Linked DNA regions of Mus musculus. The protein of the gene in region 1 purifies or fractionates together with the protein of each later gene. This does not show direct contact. Links are inferred from orthologs where the notes say so. Each region holds a gene or a part of one and is shown on either strand. Other genes may lie near its edges.

What was found.
Region 2: the proteins of En1 (region 1) and Tle1 purify together in Homo sapiens (affinity purification with western blotting; 4 studies listed by BioGRID and IntAct, with this or other methods). This does not show direct contact. The link is inferred for Mus musculus from reciprocal best matches to the Homo sapiens genes EN1 and TLE1.

The regions. Positions count from the first base shown.
Region 1 is NC_000067.6:120,603,256-120,610,946, reverse strand, and holds the end of En1 (homeobox protein engrailed-1), read right to left. Parts: coding exon 7,026-7,691; intron 4,075-7,025; coding exon 3,758-4,074; 3' UTR 2,956-3,757; downstream 1-2,955. UniProt on the Homo sapiens protein: Required for proper formation of the apical ectodermal ridge and correct dorsal-ventral patterning in the limb.
Region 2 is NC_000070.6:72,198,094-72,202,062, reverse strand, and holds the start of Tle1 (transducin-like enhancer protein 1), read left to right. Parts: upstream 1-1,169; 5' UTR 1,170-2,057; coding exon 2,058-2,081; intron 2,082-2,641; coding exon of another isoform or gene 2,642-2,665; coding exon 2,666-2,766; intron 2,767-2,796; exon of another isoform or gene 2,797-3,823; intron 3,824-3,969. UniProt on the Homo sapiens protein: Transcriptional corepressor that binds to a number of transcription factors. Inhibits NF-kappa-B-regulated gene expression. Inhibits the transcriptional activation mediated by FOXA2, and by CTNNB1 and TCF family members in Wnt signaling.

The DNA.
Region 1 (7,691 bases):
TCTGAGGTGCTGACTGGCTGCCAGGTAGCTTCATCTCTTGTGACTGATGGGGTTATGGTAGCCAGAGCCACTCCTCTGTACCCTGGGCAGCCCCATATAGAGGCCTGGGAATCAGGCATCCGTTGGAGCCTATCTATCCAACACGCCTCCCTAGCCTAAATAAATATATGCACAACATACAAGTCAAAATGCCCAAAGCTAGTCCACTTGCAGACGTGTGCACAGGCAGAATGTTCACCGAGTGACTTTTGCCTCCATGCAGGCTCTCCTTCCCTATCTTCATCCTATCCCTCCCACTGCCTCCCCTCCCCCCACCCTGGTAGGAAAAGAGAGGAAACAGAGACCTTTGCCCTCAAAAAGAGATCTTGAAATCGATATTGTTTAGACTCCTGCAGCTTGTATTTCCTTCTAGGCTGAGGAAGATTTAAGTATATGGTTCAATCCCAATCCTTAAGGGAGGGGGAGGAAAAGGAGAAGATGAGGAAGTTGGGTTGGTGTACTCAGCTCAAGTATTTATCTCGATGTAGCTATACAACCCCCCCCACTTAATACACAGGCAGCTCGCCAAGCCAGCCCCATAAATCCGAGAAATCAATGCCTATTTATGATCATTATTACTCTCTCCTTCTCTCTTTTTAAAAGAAGGGGTGCCTGAATAAGGTCTGACTGGATCCGTCCTCCCCTTCTTCGCTGCCCCAATAAGAGAGAATGAAAATTGCAGATCGGAAGGAGAGAGAAGAGGAAGGTCGGTCCTGACCTTGACTACAAGGCCTTGGCCAAATCTTTGAAGTATGGGCTCCAAAAAGACGAAGGCTCAGAGGACAAAAAGCTTCCAAGTTCTCAGAGCCCCGGTTTCTGCTGCCGAACAATGAAGAAAACTCTATTTGCCCACGTGATTAGAAGATAAAGAGAGATAATGGGTAAGAAATCAAATTACATCACAATACCGCTCCCATCAGAGGCTTAGCCAACACACCCAGGAGCTGGACTAGTGGCCTTTGCTGTCCCTGGGGTTAGGGGGTGGAGATCTCTTGTCTCTGGCCTTTTTGTTCTGGGTGGTAGGAGGAGGGCTTCGGGAATGGGACACTTCCTGCAGCTGCCTCTGTCCTAGCCCCTGAAATGGGTGGCAGTGGATGCTTCCGTTAAGTTAGGGGCCATGGCCGGTAAAGGAGGAGGTAGAAGAGCCATGAACCCACATCCCCATGTGCTTTCTGTCCTTTGGGGAGAGGGAGATGGGGGCTGGGGGTGGGGACGGCTCCAGATTCTGAGCTGGCCAGCACTTCAGACCTCGGACTTCTTCACCTGAAGGCCAACCAGCAAAACCTCAAGAAGCCAAGCACCACTGTCAAGACGGATGCTTCCAGTCACCTCTGAACACCAATTATGTGCAGGCACCACCCCCAAAACAACAGTAAGACATAAGAGACCCATAGGAATGTTTAATGACTTCCAACTGCTCTCCAGGCCCCTGGACCCCAAGTTCCCAAGCCCTTAGACAGAGACAGTGTGGGACTCTTCCTGGGGTACAGAGCCTAGCACTTTTAGTTCCCTGGTGAGAAACGGGATGTTGAGCCAAATTTCGGGGACTTTTTCAAGAAAAGAGTGGGATAACTGGACCATTCTCATTTCTTCCAAAAATCAATCCTGTTGGGGGAGGGGGCATCAGGAAATAAACTCTAGAGGAAAGGTCCCCATATTCATGCAAGTCCCAAACACACTAGACAAGGGTTCTGATGCGCAAATGCACACTAGTGCAAATACGGACACCCCCGAACTCACAAATGTCCAATAATGTGTCAGACCCTGCAGCGTAACAACCACTCAGCTGCACAATACAAAAACACACGCAGAATACAAACAAAATGGCCGGGAACCGAGGCTCACCATGATGTGCACACTATTACATGTGCACACAAACGTATGGACACCCATCTGGCACATTTACGTACATACCTATACATAGTTGCTTACATGTTACATGCATCTTGCATATAGGGAAAAAAAGGAGAGTAGAATTTATAGTGTATAAAATTCTAAACAAAAGAGAGATGGGAACCTTTAAATAGGCTCTTAGTCTTAGCCTCTGAAAGCTTCAGGGGGTGTCAGTCCTGGAGAGTCTGTCCCACTCACTGACAACTCCCCAGAGGGTTCTCTGGGTTGGCCAAGTGTCTGGCCTGTCCTAGGATCTTCTGTGTACAATCTCCTCTCCTTGAAATGAGGAATTTGGCTAAGCTTTGCTGGATTTGGAAAAGGAACCTCTATACTGAAGCTTCAGGTCAGGGAGAGGTAGGCCTCTGGCTGTTTGGGGGCTTCCAGACCCCCTGAACAGGATCACTAGATACAGCTTTTCACACAGACGGGCCTCCTCTTTGTAGTATGAGGAGACTATTACACAGTGAAGCCCTGCGAGCATCAAATCAGACTAGCTACCTGCGGAGGGGAATCCCATGCCCAAAGGAAGAGGTGAAGAGACTCTGGGCCAAAGCTGGGCAGCTTTGCAAACAGTCTGCCACCATTGCAGGCCCTGGTAAGGCCTCTAGTCTTAGACTTTCACAAAAAAAAAAAAAAAAAAAAAAAAAAAAAAAAAAAAAAAAGACCTAGAGGTATAGTTTTGTTCATGGAAGCAGGTTGAACAAGAGGACTCAGTTGGCTGAGCCTGAACAAGCTTAAGCAGCCAGCTGGAGCCTTTGGGGGAAGGGCAGTGAAGGACTGGACTTTCTGACATTGGGGTCGCCTAGAATACATTCAGGGACTCGGCATATCCTCCAGACCAAAGCAAACCTGGACAGCCTGTGCCATACACTCCCTTTCACACTAACATTTGTTGAGCAGTGATGATTACAGTCATAGCTGAGCTTCCCAGGGTTTTGCTCCCACCCTGTACAGCCAGGGTGGTCGCCACACAGTACCTGGATGGGCTCTTTCTCATCCCACAAAGAAGAGGGCAGTCAGCAACTCATGAACACAGTGAACATTTTATTTCAGACTACAGGTTTCTGAACATAATAAAATCTTTGGCTTGTAGCGGCGGTTCAGTCTCGCAGTCTGTGGGGTTGTATTTCTCAAGGAGTCTCCAGAAAAGGAAGGGGATTTACGGGAGGGATAGACAAGACCAATAGAAGAATCCTGGGTGGGTAGAGAAGAGGCGAGGGGCAGACACACAAGGAAACACACTCACACTCACACAAAGAAAAGTCCCAGAGAAACCAGGGCCAGCGTTGGGGGTGCAGGAGGTACCCAGAGAAGCAAAAACATTCAAAGGAAAAGAGCAACGAAAACGAAACTGGGCTGGGGGGGGGGGGTGCAGCAAGGTAGGGAGGAGGGGAAAAATAATTATAATAATTATAATAATTATAACAATAATAAATGAGATTAATAAAAATGTCCAGCAAATAGAGATCGCTACACATATTTGTTTTCCTTACCTGAAATTAAATATATACACGGTCGAAAGCAGTTTGGCTAGATAGAGCTTTAAGGAATTCGCAGTTTCATCTTATACAGTGAGTTAGAGAATAGATGTTTATTTTTCCCCCATAGCACCTGTCCGAGTCTTACTCCCGTTTCAAAAACCGTTTTGTTCCTATGTGAATGTCCACTCGGAGGATTGCTTTCTCTTGCTCGCTTTCTCTGTCGCCCTGATTGATGCCTCCCTCCATAGCGATCGTCTCTGCGTGGGGCTGGTGAAGCGGCAGCCCCGAGGAGCCTGGAGGTGGCACGGGCGCCGTTGGACCGCGGGCCCCGGAGCTGGCCACAGCTACTCGCTCTCGTCTTTGTCCTGAACCGTGGTGGTAGAGTGGTTGTACAGTCCCTGGGCCATGAGGTGCAGCGCCAGGCCGTTCTTGATGCCGGTGGCTTTCTTGATCTTGGCACGCTTGTTTTGGAACCAGATCTTGATCTGGGACTCATTCAGGCTGAGCTCCTGGGCGAGGGTCTGTCGCCGCTGCTCCGTGATATAGCGGTTTGCCTGGAACTCCGCCTTGAGTCTCTGCAGCTGCTCGGCCGTGAACGCCGTCCGCGGCCGCTTGTCTTCCTTCTCGTTCTTTTTCTTCTTTAGCTTCCTGGTGCGTGGACCTGCAGCGGGGAGGACAGGGCCAGGGAGGGGAGGAAGGGGGTCAGGAACAGAGGGAGGGGGAGAGGGCAGAGTAAGCCTTGAGAAAATTGTGTGGAGTACACCGCGGGCGGGGATCCCGAGTTTCCGGGGCGATTGTAGAGGCCAGCTGCTGGGTCCGCTATCTCCATCAAAGAGCCCCTCTCTACACCATTGAGATCTCTAGGCCCCCCTCTGCAGGAGGGACTCGGAAACCAAACAAGCACACTGGCAGGGACTGCAGGGGCCACCCGATTCAAGAAAGATGGAGAACAGACCTAGCTCCCAGTACTGTCCAGCCCAGAAGGCCAACAACAACAACAAAATAGGGCTGGGGGAGCAATTAAAGATACAGTGAGTTCTTGGAGTCCCAAGGTATAACCTAGACTTAGGGTATCACTGAACCAGAATGTCTTCTTAGCCCTGGAATAAATACATCAGTAAGGTCAGGCCCTGGGAAGAATGGCTGATCTCTGATCTACTTTGGTTCTCACTTTATTCTTGGGAAGCTACACACACACACACACACACACACACAGAGAGAGAGAGAGAGAGAGAGAGAGAGAGAGAGAGAGAGAGAGAGAGAGAAGCCTACCTGATTTTCAACATTGACCTCAGAGAGAACAGGGAAGCTGAAATCACCCAACTCCAGAGAATCAGGAATCCCTTTCTGCCTTCTTTTCTTTCTGTTCGACCTGAGGGAAGCTCTTTCAGTAGCGAAGCAGGACACTGCCTGCCCATTCCTATTAGGACTGCTGCCCCTGGTCTATGAGTTTAAGCCTGGGACATTCTATTTAGCTTCTTGGTTGATGTCAGAAAGAAAAAAAAGAAGGACCCTTAGGACTCCTCTCCATGGTGTGGGGCGGGGGAGGAGGTTCTCTTATCTCTTTTCTAAACCTGCCTGCATAATTTCAGGGTGCAAAAGTCTTGAAGTAACACAAACAAATTGGGAAGCCCATGGCTGGTGATAACCCTTCCCTTGCTGTCCCCACCCAGAAGCAAAACAAGGACCAAGAGATGCTGGTGAAAGAAACAATCACAGCGGGGGGGACCTGTGCTATTACCCCAAGATGGGGTGTAGGAAGGCCATTCTCCAAGAGAATGAGGCCTCTCTCAAATGCTAATGTGGAAGGTGGGTATGGGGGTCCAGCCAAGGAGAGAGAACTAGGCTGGACCTTGGCTGGAGGGTTGAAACCTGCTTCGTGGCACTCTTGCTGGGATGTGGGCACTGCTGGCCTCAGTGATAGCTATGGAGGCCGTTCCTGACCTGTCTGTTATTACCTAAAACTATCTGAGAGAGGGGTCTTTGCTGGCATGTGCAAACCTAGTTACTGGAAAAATTGAGTAACTGGATGGAGCAGCCGACCAGCACCTAGGGTCAGTAGCTGTGTGTGGAGGAGGAGTCCAGGCCTTACTGGCTGTAGGAATCACGTCTAAGTTGTCACTCCTCCACATTAACTGCCTTTGGAGAAGTATCTGGTCCCTGCCTTCTCTGGTCTATAAAAAGAAAAGGAGCAAGGAACAAAGACAAGGCCTGCTCCTGAGCAAGACTTGGGTTTAGATGAGTCATAAGGCAAGCAGGCAGAGATGGCCCAGGACATGTGCGCATCCTCCAAGAGACTCCGCTGCGGGAGGTGCGTCCTGAGCATGTTGTAGTGTTGTTGTTGTGTGCAGAGGCACGGACACTTGTAATAAAATCGTAGCCTCCTGGCCGGCCCGACCCACTCAGCCTGACAGCTCAATCACTCTATCCATCAGGCGAGTCAATCAAAGCAGCTTTTCGGAGGTTCAGGGAGCCCGACTTGTCAATAACGGGGCTCGAGATGGCGGGGGCTGATAGCGCGCATCGATCCGCACCCAGCCCGAAGCAGCAAGGCTGCAAGACACCAGCCAGCAGTGGGGCGCCTGTGGCTACCTTTTGCCCGGCCCCCTGCCTGGCCCAAAGCTGACCTTGGACCCAAGCCCCTGCTGTTCTCCTCGGGGGACCGGCGCTGGCCTCCTAGAAACGCCCGCTCTGTGCAAGGAGAAGCAGGCCTGAGTCCCCTCTTCTAGGGCCCAGCAGCTGACCTTGGGTAGGTAGGTGCTCCAGCAAAGGAAAAGAAAGCAGAGAATTGTCCTAAGTCACGCAGATAGCCATTAACGGGCATATTTGCGAAGGAGAGAGAGTAAAAGAATGAAACCCAGGCCGAAGGGACAGGGGAGCCCTGCCAGGCACACGCTGATTCCCTTGCCCATGGTCCAGATTTCAAATCTTCCAGTAGCCTGCTTGTTTTGCTCTCCCACGGCCTGCCAGCACCAGCGAGCAGAGGCTACTCACCTTTCTGGCTAGGGCCTTCCTCTACATTCTACCCACGCGGGTTGACTCCCCATTCCCGGGCTGGGCGCAAGAGATGGAGGTTTTCTCTTTTCTGTCTCTCCCATATCTGTTTTTATGCAAATGGACTCTCCACAGTATAATATCCATAGTGTTTGTTTAAAACACACGGCAAAGAATATTTCTCCGGTTCATCTCCCTGGCTAAAGACAGTTCTGGACAGGACTACGGTGGTAGACGCAGAACCAAGTCACTAACTAGGCCTATCTTCCCGCCAGCTCAAAGCGCCCTTTCCCTACTAAATAGATCAATGAGTAATTAGATATCTTTCTTCGAGATAATAAAATAAAATACAAAAATGACCTCAGGGCTCAGAGTTCGTAAAATCAAAGGACAAAAACTGGAGCCTCCTGTGCGTGCCAATAGCTGTAACTTCCTTGGTCGAATAGGCCAACATGGCAGGGCAGAATCGAGCACAGGATCGGTTGTGACTAGGACCCGGGGCAAGAGAAATAAAACGTGAAGCTGATGGAGCTTCAAACTGGACTCTCCCGGGCGTGACGGCTTGAAATTCTAGAGCATGGCCTGGACACATATGCACATCCCGGCTCGGGTACTCACCAGAGGACGGACGGTCCGAATAGCGTGTGCAGTAGACCCAGGCGGGCCACACTAGGGGTTGCTGTGAGTCAGTCTTGACCACCGGCCCACCGTTAGCCGAACCCATGAGTAGGATCGCAGGGTTGTGTTCCGGGAACTTGGCGCCCTGCGCCCCGGGACTCCCCGCGTTGCCTCCACTACCACCGCCACTGTCCGAGGGCTTCGAGGCTGCTGCCGCCGCTGCCGCCACTGCCGCTGCAGCCGCTGCTGCGGCCGCGGCCGCCGCAGCAGCCGGGTTCCCGGCTTTGGATGCGCCGGCGCTGACAGCGGTGGCGGGCTGGGAGCCGTCGGGTGGGCCACAGTTCGCATCTGGAGCACACAAGAGCGAGGCAGCCCCCGAAGCTCGTGTGCCCAGAGAGTGAACGGGGTCTCTACCTGCACCAGTCTGGCCTCGGTCACGCTCCACGCGGCTTCCTCCTCCTGCTGCTGCGCCTCCTCCGGCTGCAGCCGAAGCCACCAGGAGCTGAGGCAGGGGCTGTTCCTTTTTGCAACCGAAATCGGGCCTTAGGATGTTATCGATGAAAAAGTTGGTGGTGCGGTGCAGCTGGGCCGCGGGCTGCGGCTGGTGAGCAGGCGCCGCGAGATGCTGCGGTGGCGGCGGCGGCGGCGGCGGCGGGGGCGGGGGAT
Region 2 (3,969 bases), on another chromosome or scaffold:
GAAATTCCTCTTAAGTCAATCCTCATCAAACAAGATCCTCAAGCTGCTTCATTTACCAATTCTCAGTAGTTCCACGCTTCTGCCAGGAGGACAACCAAAGCAACTTGGGAGGGGGAGGGGGAGGTTTCAGGTCTCAACGTTGATTTATCCCATTGCCTTTCATTTCCAGACATTTGAAACTGACTAGTGCTTTCCAGGCAGTCTCCAAAAAACGCTTGGCCATTTCCCTCCTATCCAAATGTGAAAGCATTCCAAAACCGGAACTCATTATTTCTCACGGGGCGCATCTCCTCTGTGCCTGAAACACGTGTATCAAAGACTGCCGGCACCGGCACCTTAGGGATCTTTCATGCTAAAATGGAGACAGGTCGACCTTTCAAGAAGTGGCGCAAAATCCTACGAAGCCGGTGCAGCGGTTCCAGTCTTGCCACGATGTGTGTGCACGCCAGCTGCTGCGATACTCACGCACTTCCCATCAAAGGCACAGTTAACTTCTTTCTCGTGCGTCCGTGGAACGGCAGCTCGCGGAAAAATAAGCCTCCGATAAAGTTGTGAATGAAATCTCACCTTCAGAGTAGCACAAAGGGAACCAATACCGAAAAGCCGAGTTCTGTTCTTGTTACCAAGACGCATCCCTCCCCCAACAAGAAACCCCGTGGTTAGTCTCTGCTACTTTCACTGAGATTTCCTTCAAGGAAAAGCGGAGCGAGCCACAGGCTTCTGCAAACTTCAACCCCCTGCTTTTTACTTGCCTGCCGCGCGCAGGTCGCTCGGGCTCGCGCGCACTCGCGCGCTCCCTTACTCGCCCCACGTTACTTTGATTGACAGCTCGGCCCGCCGCTCTCCTTCCCACCGACCTTCCGAAGCCGCTTGCCAATCTCGGCGTCTAGCCGCTCCCCATTGGCTGGCGTGGGCGCCCCGCGGCTCCTCGGGCACCGCGGCACTCAGAGCGCACAGGACGCGCTGGCGGAGGAGGGGCCCAGGCGAGTGGGCGGGGAGACGCGGCACAGAGGCCGCGCGAGGTGGGCGGAGCGAAGGCCAACACAGGCTGCGGCCGGCCTGCGTCAGTGCCCCACGTTGGTGCGGCGCACGCGGTTGGCTGAGCGGCTGCGGCTCCGCCCACGTCCGTGGCCGCCTGGGTGCTTGCAGCCCCCGCCACACGGCTCGGGCGGGGTGCTGGTTTGCTAGCGAGTGTGAAACCGCGTGTTAATGTAAGCGGCGCAAGAGGCGCGGGCGGCGGCAGGAGCAGCGGCGGGGACCCCGCGTCCCGGGGCAGAAGCCGGGACTCGCCTTCGACGTGGCCCGCCGCGGAGGGAGACAGAGCGGCAGCGCGCTCTCAGTCGCGTGGACGTTTGCCTCCGGGTCGTGAGAACTTTGCGGTGGCAGGAGCTGGTCAGCCCTTTGCTAAGAGCCGAGGAGGGGAAGGCAGGCGCAGGGAGCGCCCGAGCCGCGGAGAGCGACCGGCGGCCTGATGCCCGGGGTAGAGGCGCGGCGGGCGGCCAAAGAGCTGCACCGGGATCACTAGCCATCGACTGGAGGGAGGACGCATACTGGCGTGACCCTGCCAGGACCCCGCTAGGCTTCGAAGCTCCACGCCCCGCCGGAGACTCGGCAACGCCGGTGGAGAGCCGCCGGTGACCCGGAGCTTACCGTCGTGGGAGCGGGTGACCTCCCGACCCGAGACGCGGCTCTCGCCGCTGGCTGTCTACGTGGGTTTTAGCCAAGGCGCCACCTGCACGACCGCCGACGCAGGGAGGAGACACACAGCCTTCCTGCATTTGTGAGCCGCAGAAGGGAGCGCGCCGGGGGCACCGGGTGGAGGGCCACCGGAGGTCCGGGCGCCCCCGCTGCGCAGACTCGCAAGCGCGGGGCCGGCCGAGCCGCCCGCAATGTGGCCCTGAGGGCGGGGGCCGCACCCGTCGCGCCCTGGCCTTGCATCCCGAGTGCCCCGTGCGCCGGCCTGCTGCGCTGCTTCACGTTCCTCGGCGGGATTCAAGTTGGAAGTGGCGCGGAGGATAGAGCTATCCCGGAACAGAGCCGCGGCTGCCGCCAGAGCGATGTTCCCGCAGAGCCGGCACCCAGTGAGTCGCCGGCGTGGGTGGGACCTTGCCCCGCGCGGGAGCCCACGAAGCCCCATTTCCCCTTGCCCGGCCCCCTCCCACTGGATGTCTAGACGGGCGGACGGGCGTCGCGCAGTCACGGCCCGCTTATCCCGAGGCCGAAGTGAGCCCTCTTCTCGCCTGTTTACGCGTAGTCAGTGCGGCCCGGACTGGGGGCCGAGAGGGAGTTGGCATTTCATCTCCAGGTCCCGGGTCATTCTCGAACCAGTTGGGGAGGGGCGGCCTGGACATCGAAACTCTGATTTGGGCCTTTTCAGCCTCCTCCGGGCCGGGTGACCCCAGAGCTCCGGGCACGCGCTGTCCACACTGGAGGCAGACTTATTCCTGAGCCTCCTGAGAAATTAGGGCCCCAGGAAGATCCGCTTTCTCCCTCTCTAAAGTGAACCGAGGGTTCTAGTTTGGGCCTCTGTTTTCCACCACTTCTAACTTTATGTATTTATTTATTTTTTTTGTTTATGTCCCATCCGCTTCTCCCTCTTACTTTTCTGCTTTATGCCCTCATCCTCATATCTCCTCCCTTGGTCCCTCATGCTGGTCACCTGCAGACGCCGCACCAAGCTGCAGGCCAGCCCTTTAAGTTCACTATCCCGGAGTCTCTGGACCGGATTAAAGAGGAATTCCAGTTCCTGCAGGCGCAGTATCACAGGTGCGTGTCGACCTACTCAGGGTGGTGGTCACCTGGGGCGGGGGGTGTCCCTTCTCACACACTGCCAGGCTGCTAGGGCTGCTGTACTTAGGGCTTGTGTCCAGGCGGTGGCGTGTGGAGTCACCGTTAAGCCCTGTCATTCACGTTACCCCCCTTTCGTCGCTCTTCCTGGGCCGTCCCTTCTGTTGTCTCCTCCTCCTCCCATTGTTTCCCCTTTGCGCATTTGTGGCTGTTCCAGGGAGTCCCTTTTCGTGTATTTTGGAGTTGCATGAGAACCGTCAATATTTGCGCTTCGTTTATTTATTTTGCAACAGGCTGAACTGAAACATGGGTTCAATCAATGGCTCGGTCCCGGAGTGTGTGTTCAGGAAAGCAAAGCCATGTTGCAATAGCTGTTTGCCATACAAGAAAATTGGGTTGTCTGAGACAAAGTCCATTAGGGGATGCTAGATGCCGTTAGCTGGGGCCATCAAGGGTTATTTAGGTGGTAAGGTGTAGATAATGTGCGTGTTTGAGTAGACCAGGAGACTAGAGTCACGTTCACCTCTGTTCTGGGTTCTTATGTAAGGATACCTTCTATGGATCGTTTAGTGGAAATTCTAGCTAAAGCCCCCATCTATAGATAATAGAAAAGCTAACTATTTTCCTACGATGAGGTTTTGACTCATTGTTGCTAAGCAATAACTTCGAAGGCGATTTTTACTTTTGTCAAGCCTGAGGAAAAAGACCAAAGAAAAGCTTGGTGGCTTGGGTCTGAGTTTTCTTAAGTTAGTCAGAGGCTTTCTGATTTTTGACCTTTTATCTACTTTTATATCATATCTCGAGAACTTGGGGCATACTTGGACACACTGTTTACTGAACAGGGACAGGAGAACTTCAACCCACTTCATTGCTGTAGCTGCTTGTCATAGCTTGGCAGCGATTCAAACGGTTTTGAAAGGCACTAGTCACTGTACGGAGTGACTTTACCAGGAAAGTTTTCAAACCTGAAGACTGCCTGTGCTGGAGAGTGGGGCTTGTGGGAAGGATGGATTTTGGTGCAGGCAAGAGAAGATTGGTGAGGATAGCTGAGGAATCTGTTTTGATAGGTTTTTCCTCTCACAGGTGTGCCCCAAGGAACAAAAAGAACAGTAGTTGCTGGATAGTCCCCATTGTTCACCACCTTTGCCAGCATTGAATACAAAGACAGCTTTTAGGATGTTT